3 linked regions of the Macaca fascicularis genome follow. The protein of the gene in region 2 purifies or fractionates together with the protein of the main gene of each other region. This does not show direct contact. Links are inferred from orthologs where the notes say so. Each region holds a gene or a part of one and is shown on either strand. Other genes may lie near its edges.

Region 1 (3,646 bases), on a different chromosome or scaffold from region 2:
AGAGTGATCTAGCTTCTATCCTCTCTACTCCGTGAAACACCCTTAGACGCCTACCAGTGTCTAAACAATTGACTAATCTGGTGAATCTTTTCAGTCTTTTTCTTGACTTCTTTGTAGCATTTGATACTTTTGATCTCTTTTATTTTCTTAAGACCTTCTCTTTCCTTGCGTGTCATGTCAGTATTCTAACATTTCTTCTGCTTCTTTCATCAGTTACCTTTATGGTTCCTCTTCCTACCCTCTTCCTTCTTTTCTGTAACCTATAACTATGAAAGCTCACACAGTCCAACACCCTGAGCTCTCACTAGACTTATTATTAAACAAATACTTATATTGAACACTTACTGTGTGCCAGATAAGTGCCAGATAGGTTCTGGAGATACAGTGAACAAATCTGACTAAAACCTCATCCTTATGGAGCTTATCTTTAGTGGACTGTGGTTCTAGTCTAAACCTCTGTCCTGTGTTCCAGGCTTATATTTTCTTTTTTGTTTTGTTTTTTGAGATGGAGTCTTACTCTGTCACCCAGGCTGGAGTGCAGTGGCGCAATCTCAACTCACTGCAACCTCTGCTTCCTGGGTTCACTCCATTCTCCTGCCTCAGCCTCCCGAATAGCTGGGACTATAGGCACTCGCCAGTAGGCCCGGCTAATTTTTTGTATTCTTTAGTAGAGATGGGGTTTCACTGTGTTAGCCAGGATGGTCTCGATCTCCTGACCTCATAATCCGCCCGCCTCGGCCTCCTAAAGTGCTGGGATTACAGCCGTGAGCCACCGCGCCCGGCCCAGGCTTATATTTTCAGTTAGTTACTAGACATTTTTCCTTAGGGAAATGTACCCCATAGTGACCCTATAGGAACCTCACAGGCACATTCCAAACTGAACTCCGTCTTCCCTTTCTCCTTCCTGCTCCAGACCCTCATTTCTAGTCATGATACCGCCCAGTTTAGAAAGCTGGAAGTCACCATAGACCACTTTCCTTCACCCTTCCCTGCACGTCTAGATAGTCACTAAGTCCTGTCCCTCTTATCTTCTAAATACCTCTCCCGCACACCCTTTACTTTCTGTCCCTTAGGCATTGCCTCCATTCAGGCTTTCAGCATTTCTTACCTGGCTGTTGAAACAACTTGCTGATAGGTCTACCTGACACGAAGATATCTTCCCTAATTTCCCCTGCTTTGTACATTACTACCAAAGGAATTTTTCCAACACATAAATTTTGTGTCGTATTTTTGCATCAAGCCTTTCATGACTCTCCATTGCCTACATTTAGGTCTGTTATTCATAAAGTAAAGCAATCTAGACTTAACAGGCAACCTATAACACCCCGAAAGGAATACACACTCGCTCAAGCCTGTGCGCCTTTTGCTTAATGTGCCCTTATCTTTTCTGCCTGGTAAATATCTACCTATTACTGAAGACTCAACTCAAGCACCAATTCATGAACTTTGTTGCTCTCGGTGCCTATTCACCCTTTATATGCATTATTCACATCCATTTGTGCTTAAGTGACCTTACACCATTTTATTTTTCCAGCCCAGCTTGGTGTCCCCAAGTACTTCTTGTGGCTCCTTGACTGAAAGACTACTGAGACAAAATGCTGAGCTGACAGGGCATATCAGTCAACTGACTGAAGAGAAGAATGACTTAAGGAACATGGTTATGAAGCTGGAAGAGCAGATCAGGTGGTATCGACAGACAGGAGCTGGTAGAGATAATGTATGTCCATTTTTAGCATCTCCATATATGAGAATTCGTGCGTGCTTGTCATTTCTGCTATCTAGTTCAAGTTTTAATCCTGTTAATGTAAAACTATCACGTACCTGATTCTTAGTAGGATCTGTAGAAAATTTTATAGGGATGACAATAATAATATTACTATTACTACTAAGTTACTAATAATTACTGTTATTTATTGGAAACCATCTCTGTACTCGACTCTGAGTTGTATACATAAAGAATGTCTAATCCGCATCCACCTTATACCTGAGAAAACTGAACTGAAGTCGTAGTCAAACCAAGATACATGTATCTCCAAAGCCAGATACTTTGCTACCTAGGCACCAACAACAGATACACAAAATGTTCAAATGTGAATCCTGACTGTTCTCTTCGGTCACTTATCAGTCATTGTGTTCATGACTCAAATAGAAGGTGCTGTTAAATTATGTCTTTCAGTCTGATAAATTACGCTGAGAATTTACTTAAAATTTTTCCATTTAAAAACAGGTATAAAATTAATTGCTAGTTTCCATAATCACCCAATATAAAGATAGAAAAGACCTGTAAGACAACTGTATGGTTAAATACATGATAACACATTTATGTGCCTTTTATAGAAATCCACTTATTATGTACATACTGGCTTGTTTTTTTCCCACTTCTCCAATACACTATTTCAGGCACAGGCTCAAAATTTGGACCCAAATGGTCTGTTAGGTCTCTTGATGTTTTTAGTTCAAAGCTCTGCTAATCTGCTAAACCTTCCCTGTGGCCAGGCTTTCTCAAGGACTTTTAGTTGTAAAACTAATGTATTTAGCAAAGGACCATGTACTTAGAGTTAGTGTATATGCATAATGTCAATTAAGATTGGCTTTGAACTTTGTCTAGGTGGGGTCAGAAAGTTGAGACTGCACCATCATTGAGCTATCTTTAATATGTTTAGCTCAGACTTTTCTTCAGAGACTTGTTCTTAAAAATCATGTAAGTAGTCTGTGGTCTTTGCAGTCTTCCAGGTTTTCATTGAATGGTGGTGCCAACATTGAAGCCATCATTGCCTCTGAAAAAGAGGTATGGAACAGAGAAAAATTGACTCTCCAGAAATCTTTGAAAAGGGCAGAGGCTGAAGTATACAAACTGAAAGCTGAACTAAGAAATGACTCTTTACTTCAAACTCTAAGCCCTGATTCTGAACATGTCACTTTAAAGGTAGGAGACATCTCCCATCTAAACATCACAGTTTGTTCTATGTTTTTGCCTTCTTTCATCTCTCACTGACCTTAAATAAATAGACTAAAGAAATTTAGGCCCAGGCACGGTGGCTCACGCCTGTAATCCCAGCACTTTGGGAGGCCAAGATGCGCGGATCACGAGGTCAGGAGATTAAAACTATCCTGGCTAACATGGTGAAACCCGTCTCTACCAAAAATACAAAAACAAAAAAAATTAGCCGGGTGTGGTGGTGGGCGCCTGTAGTCCCAGCTACTCAGGAGGCTGAGGCAGGAGAATGACATGAACCTGGGAGGCAGAGCTTGCAGTGAGCCGAGATTGCGCCACTGCACTCCAGCCTGGGTGACAGAGTGAGACTCCATCTCAAAAAAAAAAAAAAAATAGATGGTATTCAGGTTTTGTCTCTAGGTCTCTTTATTCAGTCTTTGTCATGAATGCAGGTCACAGAGGTTTGTGGAAAGGCATGCCCAGGACTGGGACCAGATTAACCTCTATTAATGGTCACAGTGACAGCATCCTGGGCTCGTGGTTCCACTTTCCCTGGTTTCGTCCCTAATAGACCAAAAGAATGTTATATGTAAGAGCATCATACTCTGTAAAATGGTAAGCCCTCTGAAAGCCTCCCTAGTGACTAATAATGAATGTTGTTAAAACTACCTTAATCAGTCAACATAAAATTCAAAACATAAAGAAAAACTT
Region 2 (3,646 bases):
CTTGGGTTTGGGGCTGGGTGACAGCAGAGCGTGGCTCCGGGAGGGCTTCCGGACGTAGATCTTCCAGGTGGAGGAGTCGGGGTTCTCGGCAGCATAGCACCTCCATGCGGTCTGAGGTCGGTCAGGGGAGAGGCTGTCACCTGCTGAGCCACCCAGTGGGGGCCCTTATGGAAGCTACAGCTCTCCCTCCCTGTTCCCCAGGCCGGACCCCCTCCCCTCTGGGTGGCAGGGTCTGGGACCTCAGAGTCACAGGCTTGACGTGGTCCCAGCTCCCAGACCCTCTGCCCAGGCAACCTGGCTTGGTCCCTTGCTGTACCAGGCAGCTCACCGCTGCCTGGGCCAACTGTTACCCACAGCTGGGACACCACAAAGGGCTTTACCGGCCCTGAGCCAGCCTTGAGCCAAAGGCAAGACTCGCAAAGGTGGGCAGGTCGCACATCGTCCCCGGGTGCCAGGGTGCACAGCGTGCATAGGAGACCAATGCAGAAATAGGCAACCAGCGGCCACACAGTAAGGAAGGGCTGAGAAAGAGAGGTCGTCCGGGACCTGCAGGTACTGAACAGGGGGCAGGGAGAGGCAGGGTCCCTTGGGCTGACAGGAGGTGAGGTCTCTCCTAGAGGCCTGTGAGTGCCACCTTGCAGTTGGGGGAGCCTCTGATGGCACATGGGTGCAGCTCTGAAGCCAGCATTTCAGAGAGACCCTATGGCAGCACCACATGGGAACAGTGGGAGGAGGGGACACTATCGGTAGGGGACTTGGCGGGGGGAAGTTGTGCAGCGTCCAGGTGGGCAGGAGGGGCTCCCAGGGCCTTGTTTGAGGACACATCCTGGTGGCCTTGTCATCACTGGCCACATGAGCCTGAGAGAGGGCCAAGTGGAGAATGTGTCCCCACACTGGTGGGCTCCTGGGTGATAGTCCCAGATAGACACAGCAGCTGGCGAGGGGCACCTGCAGCCCTCACTCCCACCCAGCACCCAGGGACAGGCAGGCAAGGGCACAAGCCCAGCCTTCCAAGGCCCGAGCATCACACATACAGGACGAGCACTCCACGTGGTCCCCCAACCCTGGCAAACCCCACAACCCCTGCCCTGCTCCTGTGCAGGCCTGTCACCTGGGGCCCCCACTCCAGTCCTCCCACAGTGTGTGCAGCTTCCGAGGGAGCCCCCTTTCACAGGACCTGTGGTTCCCAGGGAGTGGGACTAGGAATCCAATGTGGTCCCCTGCTGGGTGTGGGTGGCCAGCATGCTCACGCTGGGACCAAGGTGGGTTTACGGGCCTGATTTACGGTATCCTGGGAAGGAGAAACTGTGAAGTCAGGCTGAGGGTGGGAGCTCACAGCCCCCCGATAGCTGAGCCAGGAGCCTGGCAGGACTGCGACTTGCTCCTGATAGCCTGGGCCTTGCCTGGGGCAGCAAGCTCAGGAGGCCTGCAGGGGGCATCCCAGCCAGCAGGGGCTGCCCAGGCCCTGGGCCTTCCTGGGGGACATCAGGCCCAGTGTGCCCAGAGGAGCTGACACTGCTCCCAGCCAATGCACTGGGCAGAGGCCCTATCCCTAGCGGGCACTTGTCATTCAACCTAGCAATGCCCACCCTCCGGGCCCCTCAGCAGCTGTTCCTCAGGGCAGCCCTGGCCCTGCGGTGGCCAACAAGAGAGACCCACAGGGATGCAATTCTCAAGTGGCTTCTGTGCTAAGTCCTTGCTTATGTTAACAGGGCAGTCCCATTCTCTGGTGGGTCCTGGAGAGCCTGGAGTGACAGAGCCAGAGCCCAGCGTCCCAGAGCTTGGTACTGCCTGCCTCCCACCCACCTCCAGGACCTTCCTGCCCATGATGCTCCAGGGCTCTGCCTTTCCCTACCCACTGGCCTTGTGAGCCCAGAGGGAGGCCCATGCCGTCCATCGCCAGCCCTCACCTCCAGGCACCAGGGCCTCCCGAGCCCTGAGGGATGCCAGGCCCTCCAGAAGGCACCAACTGCACAGCTGGGTCCTACCTCCCTTGGGGACAATCACCTGGCTCTGCCACTCCCAGACTCAGCCCTCAGGTTGTTGTGCAATGGGAGGGAGAATGGGAGCGCAAGGGAGCCTCAGAGCCAACCACGTCCACTCCTGGCATGGCCATGGCCGTGCCTCCTCTCCAGCCCACAGGGTATGGCCCTTGATGGGAGTGGCTTTGGAGGAAGACAGGCTCCAGCGCCCCATGCTCACCCCATCACCAGAGAAGCCAAGGCTTCCACAAGCAGGGTATGCCCCACAGGCCAGCCAAGCGGACACAGGGGCCAATGGTGGTTCCGACAGGTGGCCATGAGGGCTGGACGCAACAATAACAGTGACCAAAATGTCAGTGACTAGGGCCTTGCAGGTACCGCACCTGAATGAGTGAGGCTGCCGCCGGGATCTGCCGGTTGAAGTGCTTCTGCCTCTGCTTTTGCTGCACCTTCAGGGCAAACCCCGAGCCGAGAATCCCCTGGGAAGGAATGGACAGGAGGGTCCCGTCCACACAGGCCACTGCCAGCTGGGTGCAGCCTCAGGACATGGTTACCAGTCACAGTTGTGGGAAGGCCAGGCATGGTCAGTGCTGGAAGTTCCCCAAGTCCCACCTCGGGCCCAGCCTGCCTGTCCTGGGCCAGCATGGGGGGCAGAACTTATACCCCAGGCCCCAGCAAGGGGCCCAGTCCCATGGGGCGGGGCTAGAGCCTCTCTAACCCATTCCCAGGGACCATTCTGGGGGCCAGGTGGGCTGGCCCATCTGTATGCACCCAGGAAGGGGTCATACCACTGGGATGGGGGTCGCAAGTGAGAAGTCGGCCCTTCTCAGTCACCACTGCTGCCGCCCTGCCCAAGGACGGCTGATGGGATGCAAAGGACCCACCCAGAAGCTAGAGAACTCCCGGTCTACAGAGGGGATCACGTGGTCCATATGCATATGTGACGCACACGCACACACAATAGATATGCACACTAACACACACTAACAAACACACGCACTAACACACACACACTAACGCACTAACACACACACACACAAACACTAACAAACACTAATAAACACTAACACACAAACACTAACACACTAATGTACACAAACACACACACTAACACAAACACAAACATGTCTATATGTCATGTGCACACACACACAGCACATAGATGTATAGTATATATACCTGTGAAACGCAGATACATACACATATGCAAACATACTAATATACATGTATAATGCATACATGTGCACACAACACACCACACATACTAAATACAACATATGCACATACAATACGTATACACAGTATGCACGCACATATACGGTACAATACACACCCATGCGATACATATACACATACCCATAGTATACAAGTAACATAAAATTATACACACACAGCATAAACACATATGCACATACACACATAACACACATACACCCACATACGGGCACTGGGAACTAGACACATCACCTAACAATCTGTGGTTTCTGGAAAGGCCATGGAACAAACCCCCTCCCCGGCCAGCCACAGCGTGGAAGTGCTCTCTCCAGGCACAAGATTCTGCCTCCATGGGGTGCGGCAGCAGCACTGCCCACCCCCCAGGGCTGAGTAAGCAGGCCTGTCCCACACTGTGTCTATGCACAGCCACTCCAGGCTGCCTCCCACAC
Region 3 (4,369 bases), on a different chromosome or scaffold from region 2:
TCAGTTTTTGATAATACAACTGAATAGTTATCAAACTTTAGGAAATATATTTTTGTCAATCTTCATGTGTTAAGTGGTCCAAGTTCAGCATGGAATTGTGTTACCGAACAAAGCCTACAACTGTCATGATGGTAACTTGTTGGGGTGGGGGTTAAAGGCTACTATAATATCAAAACTCTGTCAAAATTTGTACCATTGTGTAATATATGGTATAGGTTCCGACCAAGGCAAAGCACTTAGCTGTTTCCCAACAGAAGAGTTTGAGATAATGAAAGAAAGGAGATACATGGAAAGAAAGAGATGAAGAAAAACAAATTTTCATTAAGCATCTGATTGTATCTTCAAAATGATGACAACCAATGATAGAGGAGTGACAAAGTTTACTTAAAAGACGAAACGTATTTCTGAACACAAAGCAATAAAAGACAATACAATTCTAGAGTAATACTCAGACACTCACTTTTCTAAATCACTATTCACAAGTGAAATCCAAACAAAAAGTCCCCTAGACATTTACTAATCGTATCCTCAAATTGGCAGTCACATGAAATTCAGGAGAAAAAAATATCCAATTCAAAATATAAGGAGCTTGTTCTTTAAGAGAAAGCACTCACTGGCTAGTGGTTACTACTAAAAGAAACCGAACTGATTAAACTTTTCATCCCACTCTACGAAAGCTGCAGAGTCATCATATGCCTGGTCGGATGGAGTGTGCAGCTGTCTCCCTGTACTCCATTTCACTGAAAGGGAGCGATCAGGAACAGAGAAACAGGAAGGCCAGAATCTGTTCTAAGGCGTCTATTTCCACAGCTGGAGACAGGGTACTTACTATTCTATATACAGCATCCCCGGCTTGGACACTCAAGTGGACAGTGTTAAATTGCACGGCATGCCATCTGACCATTAATGAGTCCCCGTCAGTTTCCCCTAGCCTTGGGCCATAACCCAGTTGTTTTAAAAACACATCTCTTAGTATCTCAGTAGTGTCACTTGTGGGACAGTAATGTCGCTATGCCACAAGTGACACTACTCTCGTTCAGTATTACTTAATGGGACAAAAAAATAAAAAACAACAAAAAAACCCAAAGCGAATTATATAACAACGACTGACCTGACCCCCTCAGCAAAAAGGCCATGACAAATAATCATATTTCACCAAACTTTACATTCACCTTCTTTAACTATTAAGAGACGAAACTCAGGTCCTTTGCAATATCCTCACCTTTCCGAGAACTGATTGTTTTTAAAGTATTGTCGCAGGTTATATTTGCAAGCAGCTTTTTAAATGCATTTCCACCATCAACATGTTGGGGCACTGACTTGGTTTTTGGCAGATTAAAGTAATAAATTTTATTCAAAATTCTTCTATTCAGAAAAATAAAAGCAGGGGGAAGGTATTCTGCTTGGATTTCCCAAACAGACAAAGTTGGTTGACTTTGAGGACCTACAGAAGACATTTGCAGAAATGGTGTTTTGCGCACCAAACTCTGGACCACAAATCATCGTGCCAGAACTCGGCCAAACATTCAGATCCGCTGGCCTGAAGCAGGGAAACTCCCGGGACAGAGGGTGAGGTTTATTTTGGTTACGCCGCAGAGTAAGCATCGAAGTTGAAATCAGTAAACACATGTAAACAAGCCGTGAACTTACCGTGGCGTCAGCTCCCGTGGAAACAGGGCTTTTGGCGCTTTTCTCCTCGGGATTCTGGGGAGCTTCTTCCGGCCCCCGGGTTACAAGAATTCTAAAATGCTGCTGCCCCGCGTTCTGATCCTGCCTGATCTTAAATGTGCACCCCTGGCCCTGCGGAGTCCTCTCTGCGGAGTTCGTCCTGCGGATTTCGGGAGCCATCCTGCCAGCCCGAGGCGGTGCCTCCGGGGCTCCCCGATCTTCCGTGGGGCTCCCTCTTTCGCTTCGGGGCTGCGTGGGGTACGAGGTGCTCCTCTCCAGCCGAATGCGGGGATACCTCACCAACCTGTCCCCCTTTGTGCCCGTGAAGCCAAAGTTGAGGTCACTGCCTGACCCCAGAGCGCCTTGCTGGGGCTGCTGCAACTGGAAGACAAAACACCGCTTCCCGGAGCTTCCAGAAGCATCTGGAACGTGCTGCAGGGACCAGCGCCTGGGCTCTGCCGCCGCTGGGCCGCCCTGGCCATCCGGGCCGAGGGGCAGCAGCCTCACCTGGCGCACGTCGGCGCTGGAGGCGCGGTGCTGGATGCGCAGGCCCGGGGCAGCCTCCTCGGGGCAGTCCACCGGGCCAGGGCACCGCACGCGGCGGCGGCCGCCGCACGTGCCGTTGACCTGGAGCCCCGGGTCCCGGGCTGCCCTCGGAGGGGAGTTCCCGGGGGTGTCCCTCGGCGAGGGCTCCCGGGAACCGCTCTGGGGCGAGGCCCTCGTGGTGGCGGTGGCGGTGGCGGTGGCGGAGGCCTGGTCCCCGGGGTCCGGCGTGGTGCACGGAGGCCCATCGTCGGCGCCCTCGGGCGGCCCGCACCCATCCGTGGCCCCGTCCGCGGCCTTGCGCTGCAGGGAGATCTGCACCGAGGAGCTGCACGTGGGGCGGGCGTCGATGCTGGTCAGGAGCTGCGGGATGAACATGGACGAGCTCCGCTTGAGCGCGCCCACGCCTCCCTGCAGGCCTCCGTCGCCATCCTCCCCTACGTTCTGGGCGAAGGGGTGCGGGCTGTTCCTCCGTGGTAGGGTGTGGAATGCCATGAAGAAGTCGTCTTCTCTCTCCTGGTCTAGGATCTCTGATTCGGGGGCTGTGTTGCTGCGACCAGAGCCAAAATGAAACCGAAGCCGATGGGCCATGGTGACCAGGGGGGCCAGGAGGGCGAGGGCGAGCGGCAACAACAGGCCCGGCACTGCCAGAAGTCACAAACCAAAGACACAAACTCCAAGAAAAAGTGTCCCATCTGCCAAACTGTTAGCACTGCGGCACCAGGAGCGACAGATAGCAGAAATAACCCAAGTGGCAAGCGGCATTCCAGGCATGATTGGATAAGAGCAAAAAGCTCTCATCCACACTGTGACAGAGGGTAGGGTGGCCAGAACCACATGACCGCGCTCTCCCCCTCCAATGCCAGCTTCTGGACTTAGAGGAGTTTTCCCCCACTCGCTTTTTTTTTAAACGGCAAGAGCCTGAAACAGCACCTTCCCAGCTGCTGCTTTTCCATCAGAAAGGAGTGGCCCCAGCAGGGCGCTCTCACAGCTGACTAAGGCAGCAAACACACTGCAAGCCACGCTGCTATAAATCTAAACCACATCACATTCACAGGGCATTTCTTTCCCAATGGAGCACAGCGCTGGGACTCTGTCTAACCTGTGCAGGGACCTGGCATGTTTAACAGCACACACGGTATTTCCCCACCTCCCACCACACATGGAATAACGACAAGTAAAATATGGCTTGGCCACCGGGTAAACCCCTTCCCAAGCATTGGATACCATGTTTCTGTTATTTATGACATCACTACACTACCAGGATGGAATGCAAACTAATAAAACAGTACTATAAATACGATTACACACCCCACAGAGTTAGTGTCCGTTTAATGCTAAATAATTAGACCAGGATCTACAAGTAACAAAATAGCTAAAGGGAGGGGAGGGAGCGCGACGTGCTACACACCCAGTTGGCCTCCTGCTATCACAGCATTTTTCATTTAAAAGGTGTATACGTGTGTGTAGCTCACACATGACTGGCAGACACCAAAGTACCAGAGAAAAGGAACCCAGCTGGAGAAAACATTGTCTCCCATATGCCAGGTAGGAAAGAAAACGTCAACGAAAAAACAAACAATAACAACAAAAAACAAAAGGAAAATTGAAGAAGGGAGTGCATGTGGATTTTTTTTGTGTGTGGTAATAATTTAACTTAAATACCATGCAGAAGAAATGCTGCCTAGAGCTGACTGCTCTCCAGTACGAAGTCAGCAATATTACCACAGTTGGGACACAAATATGGAATCTTGCCATGTTTGCAAAGGACCAAAAAAGACTTAAGAAATGGAAGGAAAGGTGCACAGTCGAAAAACTGTCCTCAGATTTGTAGTTAGCTTGGAAATATGCTGTATTTTAAACTCACTATTTTCTATGATCCAGAAACACCAATTAGTTAACAAAGAGGTTTATTTAGAGGGGGTGAAAAAATAGGAGGGGAAAATACCAAGCTGCAAGAGTGACAAAAAGTTTATTTTAAAATCTGCAAAGCATGACTTTGTCAATAGCCCTAGCATCCAGGGTGTGGTGGATTAACCCTGTGTTTACATACATCCAAATCTGTTTTCTAAAAGCATGTGTTTTAAATGCCAAAAATGACCTCTAGAGAGAAATGGAAGCTAGTCTGTGTAATGCTAGAACTTCCAAGTACTACCAT

The links.
Region 1: the proteins of KCNQ1 (region 2) and AKAP9 purify together in Homo sapiens (affinity purification with western blotting; 3 studies listed by BioGRID and IntAct, with this or other methods). This does not show direct contact. The link is inferred for Macaca fascicularis from reciprocal best matches to the Homo sapiens genes KCNQ1 and AKAP9.
Region 3: the proteins of KCNQ1 (region 2) and NEDD4L purify together in Homo sapiens (affinity purification with western blotting, with the first as the bait; 3 studies listed by BioGRID). This does not show direct contact. The link is inferred for Macaca fascicularis from reciprocal best matches to the Homo sapiens genes KCNQ1 and NEDD4L.

The regions. Positions count from the first base shown.
Region 1 is NC_088377.1:129,252,030-129,255,675, reverse strand, and holds part of AKAP9 (A-kinase anchor protein 9), read left to right. Parts: intron 1-1,534; coding exon 1,535-1,717; intron 1,718-2,725; coding exon 2,726-2,926; intron 2,927-3,646. UniProt on the Homo sapiens protein: Scaffolding protein that assembles several protein kinases and phosphatases on the centrosome and Golgi apparatus. Required to maintain the integrity of the Golgi apparatus. Required for microtubule nucleation at the cis-side of the Golgi apparatus.
Region 2 is NC_088388.1:2,508,392-2,512,037, reverse strand, and holds part of KCNQ1 (potassium voltage-gated channel subfamily KQT member 1), read right to left. Parts: intron 2,462-3,646; coding exon 2,366-2,461; intron 112-2,365; coding exon 1-111. UniProt on the Homo sapiens protein: Pore-forming subunit of the voltage-gated potassium (Kv) channel involved in the regulation of cardiomyocyte excitability and important in normal development and functions of myocardium, inner ear, stomach and colon.
Region 3 is NC_088392.1:22,722,366-22,726,734, forward strand, and holds the start of NEDD4L (E3 ubiquitin-protein ligase NEDD4-like), read right to left. Parts: upstream 2,928-4,369; 5' UTR 2,803-2,927; coding exon 1,651-2,802; intron 1-1,650. UniProt on the Homo sapiens protein: E3 ubiquitin-protein ligase that mediates the polyubiquitination of lysine and cysteine residues on target proteins and is thereby implicated in the regulation of various signaling pathways including autophagy, innate immunity or DNA repair.